Cricetulus griseus: one gene and its partner. The protein of the gene in region 2 purifies or fractionates together with the protein of the main gene of each other region. This does not show direct contact. Links are inferred from orthologs where the notes say so. Each region holds a gene or a part of one and is shown on either strand. Other genes may lie near its edges. The genes, in order: Csnk2b and Kat6a.

Evidence for each region.
Region 1: the proteins of Kat6a (region 2) and Csnk2b purify together in Homo sapiens (affinity purification with mass spectrometry; 3 studies listed by BioGRID and IntAct, with this or other methods). This does not show direct contact. The link is inferred for Cricetulus griseus from reciprocal best matches to the Homo sapiens genes KAT6A and CSNK2B.

What each region holds. Positions count from the first base shown.
Region 1 is NW_023276806.1:231,642,815-231,647,053, forward strand, and holds the start of Csnk2b (casein kinase II subunit beta), read right to left. Parts: upstream 2,961-4,239; 5' UTR 2,812-2,960; intron 2,259-2,811; 5' UTR 2,248-2,258; coding exon 2,176-2,247; intron 1,661-2,175; coding exon 1,558-1,660; intron 785-1,557; coding exon 669-784; intron 291-668; coding exon 215-290; intron 89-214; coding exon 1-88. UniProt on the Homo sapiens protein: Regulatory subunit of casein kinase II/CK2.
Region 2 is NW_023276807.1:60,781,015-60,784,823, forward strand, and holds part of Kat6a (histone acetyltransferase KAT6A), read right to left. Parts: intron 740-3,809; coding exon 1-739. UniProt on the Homo sapiens protein: Histone acetyltransferase that acetylates lysine residues in histone H3 and histone H4 (in vitro). Component of the MOZ/MORF complex which has a histone H3 acetyltransferase activity. May act as a transcriptional coactivator for RUNX1 and RUNX2.

The DNA of each region.
Region 1 (4,239 bases), on a different chromosome or scaffold from region 2:
TGGTGCCTTGATGATTTGGGTGTGTACACGTCCATGCACTTGGGGCAGTAGAGCTTCACCATGGCCTCGCCTGGGATGTCCGAAAGGCCTGGGACACAGCCAGACCCTGAAGACCAGGTACCCCAAGTCCTCCCACCCTCCCACAGGGCTCAGGCACTGACCACATCAACCTGACTGGCAAGTAGTGCCCTCCTCTCCCCTCTCCAACACTCACCGATGGGAAGCATTGGCTGGTTCTCACAGTACACACGAGGACAGTAGCCAAAGTCTCCCTGCTGGTACTTTTCCAACTGAGGTGTGCAAAATGGAAGGGACTGGTGAGTACGTGTGCAGAGCACCTCACTTCCCCACCTCCCAGGCCTCCCACCTCTAACTAGAAGCCCTTCTTTGTCAAGACAGGTCCTCAAGCTTCCTTCTCAACTGCTTTCCTCAAGTTGGCAGGCTGCAGAACACAAGGGCCATTTGCTCTCTCTGTTCCCTATCCATGGCCTCATCTCCCTCCCTGAAAACAATACCTTCAGTAGGACCCTCAGTGAGGATTGGATTCTCAGCCCAGCTCTGGGCTTCTCCTCGTCTCCTCTGCTAGACTTCTTGACAGGTACGAAACATGCCTTCTGCCTCATGCACCTGTTTGTCTCACTGCCTCAGAAGCAGGAGCAGAGCCTCACCATTTGGGCGATGCCTCGGTTGGTGAGGATGTATCGGGCGTGGATCAACCCATAAAGCATCTCCGCTGCCTGTTCAATCAGGTCACTCTGGTTGGGGTTGTCTTCCAGCTCTTCATCTGAAAGGTGGGATGGCCACTTGTACCCCACCTTATCCCCAAGGTGGCCTCCTACAGTTTATCCAGCACCTGTTTCTGACACACCCTATCCATCACCCAGGCCATCAGCACTGCCCTCTCTCCACACCTCTCTAGTCTCTGCCAGCTTCTTCCCCTTCCCAACACATAAACATAATTGCAGAGGGTGGCACTCTAGACCAGCAGGAGGAAAGCAGCAGCACACAACACACCAGAAGACTGGCATTGTGAGAGACAGTGGAGTTACATTTGGAGAGCATGGAAACAAATGTTACCAGTCCCTGAAGGCAAGGGTCAGGTAGGGAATCAAAATAATGAAGAAGCCAGGCAGTGGTGTATGTGCCATACAAAACCCAGCACGTGGAGGCCAAGGCAGGAAGAGCAAGTGGTAAAGTCCAGTTTGGGTTATGAATGGAGAGGAGAGGTGGGGGAGAAAACACATAAACAAACAAACAAGCGAGCAAGAGACTCGGGAATAGACAGAAGAGCTAGAGAATCAAAAGGAAATTTAGAAATTCAAGAAGCGGTTGGGCAGTGGTGGCACATGCATTTAACACCAGCACTCGGGAGGTAGAGGCAGGTGAATCTCTGTGAGTTCAAGGCCAGAGAAACCCTTCTGGAAAAACCGAAAAAGAAAAGAGAAAAATTCAAGAAGCAAGCGAGCAGAGACCAGAATAAGAAGAAACCAAAGCACACACAAGTGCACATATCATGGACCCCACACGCAGCGACGGCCCTGGGGGCAGGCACGTTACCAGGCTCCAGGTCCAAGATCATGTCTAGAGCTTGCCGGTAGTGAGGCACTTGCTCATTGAGTCCAGTCAGATTAAACTTGTCCTGGATGTAGTCCTCATCCACCTACCGGGACAGGGGAGTCAAGAGGTTGAAACTAGTGTGGGAAGCCCCGTCTTTCACCTGGCCCAGGAGACAAACGACCGCATCGGCTCCCCTTGTTTCCTATTCTCACTTCTGCAGAGGTGTTCCGTCTCCCACAGAAACCGCAGCTCTCTTCTTTCCGGGCCAACAAGGTACAGCGCATTATTCAACTTGTCTCCCTCCTCTAAAGGACCCGGGTTTGCTCTCTGCTCTGGGACATCAGACTCTCACAGGCATTGATCATTTCCTACGTTACCACACTGTGGTTTTCATGTTACATGAAACATTTTAACTTTCCTGACGGTCACCAGCGATACCTCTGTTAGCCATGCACAGAGTGAACCCCAGCGCTCAGGAGACTGAGGCACTAGGATTGCCAGGAGTTCAAGGACAGTCTGGGCTACACAGTCAGCTTCGGGGGAAATCTCATCTCAGACAACATACAACGAAAACACCGAGGGCACGTGGAGAGGGCCCAGAAAGCCAGCTAAACTCACCTCACAGAAGAACTCATTACCACGGAGCCCACAGAACCAGGAAATCCAGGAAACCTCCTCAGAGCTACTCATCTTTACGTCGGCTGAGGAAGAAGGGCGTTAAGTGGAGACCAGGCTGTTTCTTGGTCTCTTCCCTCCTCCCACACACACGGTCTCCTCAACGGCGGAGGAATCCGAGGCCACTGGCGTTGAGTGGCCCCGGCCCGTGAAGCACCGCTCTCCACGCCTCTCTTCTTTACCTCAGCCCCCCGACAGCGTGGTGAGAACCAGCTCCACTCCTTCCCAGGGGGTGACAGGTCCCGATCTGTGGGTGTTGCCCGGCGCGAGGCCAGGCCCCGGCCCCCCGGCCCCCCGGCCCCCGGCCGCGCGCGGCCCGCGCGGCCCCACCGAGGCACTCGCCTGGCGCCCGTCCCGAGGCTTCCCGAGTCCATCCTCCCCCCCGAGCCCGCCTCTCGGGGCCTCGCGGCGCCGGCGGGAGCCCCGCACCCCCGCGGGACCCACGAGCGTCCCCACAGCCGCTCCTCTCCTCAGGCCACCCGGCCTCCTTCGGCCGCCGACCCGGTCCCTTCCTTCCTCGCCCCCACATCTCGGAGCGCGGAGCCCGGCGCCGCGGCGCGGGGACGAGCGCAGACTCACCGGCCGGACGGGGACTGGGACTGGGGCGGGGAAGGGGAGCCGAGCTTCGAAGGAACCGCAGCGACCGCTACAGCGCAGGAAGCCGAGCGGACCGCGGCAGGCGAAGTGGGGAGGGGGGAAGGGGAACTGGGGAGGGTGGGGAGGGAGAGAGGGCAACGCGCAGGCGCCGAGGACCGCCCCTGCCCCTAGGGACGCCGGGAAATGGAGTCCCGTAGAGAGGCAGAAAGTGACGCGATGCGGGGACGGCGAACCACCAATCCCAAGAGTCCGCGCGCATGACTCCGGGGTCGCGAGGCCCTAGCGGAAGCCGCCTGGGGGCGGGGCGAGCCGAGCCTCCACCGGAAGCGGAAGCCAGGTTACAGCCGCCTTCCCGACCGGGAAGCCTGGGAAATATAGTCCTACGCGCTTTGGGCTCGGCAGGCTGCGAGCCGGCGCCGGCGGCCGCTGAGGTCCCCGCTGCGCGCCCGCTCCGTCCCGCTCCGGTCGTCCCTGCCGCCCCGGGGACTGACACCGTCGCCGAGGACCAGGCATGCGGCCCGGAGGTGCGGCTCGGAGTGCGGGGCTGAGGTCGCAGGGCTTGGGCTGCCGAGCCGGGCGGCGGGGGCGGGGGACCTGCTGCACCGCCCCGCGCGCTAACCTGAGGTGGCGCCTGCCATTCTGCCGCTCATCCCTTTGCACTTCTCCATGTGTTGCTGCTGCTTGCTGCTGCTGCTGCTGTTGCTGCTGCTGCTGCTGCTGCGGACCCCACGTGAGCTGCTTGCTCTTCGAGCCCTGCTCGGAGTAGCGGTGAGGGGCGCCGTGGTGTTAGCGCGTCTCGCGGCTGCCCGGCATCCCGCGGCTCCCTGGCGTCCTCAGGCCTCCCGGCTCCACAAGAGGGGCTTGGAGCGGGAGGGACCACGTCGAGGGTGGCGAAGAGCATTGTGGGGGCGTTATGTAAAAGTAGGACCCCAACCGACAGGTCCCCCTGGGCCCTCGCGCTGTCTGGGCACGCGATGCCTGACGCGGATGCTTGGGAAGGTTCCAGCGCGGGAAACTGAACCTTGTGGGTGTTTTGTTGTGGTTGGCTGCTGCGCATGCGTCTCTGTGCCAGGTGGGTGTCGGATTGTGTCAACTCTTGCAGATGACGAGAGCGCCATTTTTCGGTACGGAAGTGACAGTGCAACGCTTTTACCCCGACACCTTCTGGAATGATGTCACGCCTGTTTTTCTTTGGGAAAAGGAGACACCCCCCCCCAGCCCCACGTAAGATCGAGCAAGATTTAAAAGTCCCGGCCGATATTCCCTAACGGTATGTGTTACAGGGTGGGAAAAGGTTTTCAGAGACAGCCTGCTGTTTTTGTTTGAAGGGAGAAGGGAGTAGAACGCAGGGCCCCTAGACAAGTGCCTGGGGGAACATTCTTTCCTATTATCATTTTTTTTTTCTTTCCT
Region 2 (3,809 bases):
GAATCTGGTTCAGTTTCATCCTTATCCTTTGTATTCTCCCTACTGTCCTGCATGTTTGCATCTAAAAAAGATTCCGGAATGCCAGGCTCCTCCTTGTGGTCTTCTCTGGCTGGCTGCTCCTCTGGCTCTTTTGTTTTCAGAGACTCCAGATGGCCATCATCCTCATCATCTGCATCATGGTCTTCGTTCTGGTTGGCCTCTGCAGTCACTTCATCGTCTTCCTCTTGCTCCTGCTCTTCAAGCTCTTGAGGCTCTTCCTCAGATTGCCTTTGCTCTTCCAAGGGTTTCTCATCTTCCTCATCTGCCTCGGGTTCTTTGGGTTCTGCCTCAGGGCTGTTGCTGCTGTCCAATGGGGACATGGCTCTAATGTCACTGCTAGTCGTGTCCTCTTCCTCCTCATCTGCTTCTGTATGCATCTCCTCTTTCCTTTCTTCCAACAAGGGCAAGTCCTCTTTTACCTCAACCATTTCTTCATTTTCTTGAGTTCTGGGTTTACGCCCAGGTTTAATGGGAACTATGGGCTCAATTATGCATTCTTTCGTAGAAACAGCTATGATTTCCTGATTCAATTTAAATCCTGGTTTTCGTCCAGGTCTTTTCTTCCAGTGGATAGGTTTTCGGCTCTTGCCTTTGGGCCATCCCTTTTTCTTTTTCATAGGTGTAGAGGTATCTGGCTCAAGTGAAGCACTGTTCACATCACATTTTCGCAAGAGAGATACTGGTTTTAGAATAGGAGTGTCTGCATAGAAAAAATAAGAGAGTAAAGACAGGTTACAAGACTAGTATTTCTCTGAGACCAACATGTATAACAGAAGAATCAAAGAAATAAGGCAGATTAATAACACATAAAGTTATACAATGAACTGGCAAAACAAACAATCCTGGGTGACATGACTCTACCACCTACTAGTTAAAGCAGTCGGAGGTCAAACTCTATGAGTATGTATGTAACGAGCAGCAGGAGAGTGAACTCAAGTTAAAAATCAGCCTCTTTTGTTTGCTTTTCTGTTACCTCTTTGTCTTTTTTTTTTTAAGTTTCCACAAAATCATTCCTTGAAGTAGTATCATAAGCCATTTCCTGTAGACCAAAATTGAGCCATTCCTGTAAACAATTGTTACTCAATGTGTTTTATATGGGAACAAGTGCAAGGCATTTAGTTTTAAACACTGACATGCAGTACTAAACAAATAAGAAAAGTCAAAGTGCTAATAATATGTAGAGGGAATAAATTCAGCATTGGCATTACTTTTTCTAAATTGGGGCAAAATATATGTAAGATAAAATTTTAATCATTTTAAAGTAGAGTTCAGTGGCATTAAATACATTCTCAATTACTATTAATTTTTACAGGCTATGAGCATGGAGAGAGAGAGTCAAAGGTGTGTTTGTGATATAACTGGGAAGTCAACAAAGGCAATAGTTGTATGAGAGAAAACTGTCAAGGTCACAGTGGCTTACATCTGGGACACTATTGTAACACACAGTGATCCAAGACAGAGCACCAAGTGTCAGTTCACATACACACACGCACGCACGCACGCACGCACACACGCGCGCAGCAGAGTAAGTTTCCTATATACATCAATATATGACAAGAGTAAAACTCTGGATCATAATTTAGAAAAAAGCAAAGACTAATTATCACCACATTAAAAGCACACATCATATAATAAGCCTTAAAATTAGACAATGTGTGCTTGGTACGGTGTGAGTTTTAACATTTAGGAGGCTAAGGCAAATGGGTCACAAATTTGAGGCCAGCATGGACTTCATATTTAGACTGTGTCACACATACTCATAATTCTTCTTTTGTCTTCCCCTGCCTCATGCGCACTCAACATACATACATGCACAAATGTAAACACATATATACATATACTAACACAAGTATACATACACACATGTACACATACACATGCATACATACACATATACATACATGCACACATTTATACACACAGACATAGACACACAAATACAAATACATACATACACAACACATGCCACAAGGACTTTTTGGTTGCTTTGTTTTTGGTTCTAGGGACTGAGTTCAGGGCCAATCACCACCAAGCTACAACTCCTGTCTGAAAAATCCAAGTTCTATCTACTACATATCAAGTCCAAATTTTAAGAAAATAAAAAGTTCCACTAAATAAGGCAAAAGATAAAGTAAAAGAGTACATAGCAATGTTGATTTCTTCAAATTCACCTGTGAAAATAAAAAACCTCAGATTGAGACCATTCACAGCAAACACAATGAAGGTGTAGACAACACAATGCTTCACAAAATCTAGGCTAGAATGCAAAAGTCTAGTTTCTTCCTACCTCATATCACATGAGCCTCAGCTGCTGCCTGTCTGAATGTGAAGTAAAAATAAGTCTATTTTAAAAGTAAATGACTAGAAGTCTAGCTACATCATATAACTCAGCCCATTCTGTTATTGTTGCCACTTATGAGTGATGCATAGCTAGTTGCTGGGTTGTGCACCTGTAATCCCAGAAGTGAACAGGCTGAGGCAGGCCTGACCTATGTACAGCAAGTGACTTAAATAACAAAACAACAAAAAGAATAGACTACTGACTAAGATCCATTAGAGGCTTGATTCAGGAAGGTTCCTGAACAAGTTCCCACTGATGTTCAGAGCCTCCTTAGCATTCCTTCTTTTAGTGGAGGTGATCAAGCACCTCACTTAGTTAGCACTCAGCATTCAGCAACTGGCAAGGCCGACTAACACCAGAGACCACCCAGCCCGGTAATGAGTTACTCCATCACCCTTTAACTCAAGAGTCAGATAAGATCCTGGACAACCAGGGAACTCCTACAGCTGATAAACACCTTCAGCAAAGTGGCAGGATATAAGATTAACTCAAAAAAATCAGTAGCCCCACTATATATAGACCATAAATGGGTTGAGGAAGAAATCAGAGAAATATCACACTTTACAATAGCCACAAACAACATAAAATATCTTGGGGTAACACTAACCATACAAGTGAAAGACCTACAAAGCAAGAACTCTGAGTCTTTAAAGAAAGAAATTAAAGAAGATGCCAGAAAATGGAAAGATCTCCCATGCTCTTGGATAGGTAGGATCAACACAGTAAAAATAGCAATCTTGCCAAAAGCAATCTACAGATTCAATGCAATCCCCATCAAAATCCCAACACAGTTCTTCACAGACATTGAAAGGACAATACTCAACTTTATATGGAAAAACAAAAGGCCCAGGATAGCCAAACAACCCTGTACAATAAAGGAACTTCAGGAGGCATAACCATCCCTGACTTAAAGCTCTACTATAGAGCTATAGTCTTGAAAACAGCTTGGTAATGGCACAAAAATAGACAGGTAGACCAATGGAATTGAATTGAAAATTCTGATATTAATGAACACCTGATTTTTGACAAAGAAGCTCAAGTTATACATTGGGCAAAAGAAAGCATCTTCAAAACATGGTGCTGGCATAACTGGATGCTGACATGTAGAAGATAGCAGATAGATCTATATCTATCATCATGCACAAAACTTGAGTCCAAATGGATCAAAGACCTCAACAATGAACGTCTTAGAAGAGAAAAGTGGGAGGTACCCTTGAATTAATTGGTACAGGAGACGGCTTCCTAAACATAACACCAGTAGCACAGACATTGAGATTGACAATTAATAAATTGGACCTCCCAAAACTGAGAAGCTTCTGTAAGGCAAAGGATATAGTCAACATGACAAAATGGCAGCCCACAGAATGGGAAAAAATCTTCACCAACCCCACATCTAATAGAGGACTGGTTTCCAAAATACAAAACGAAC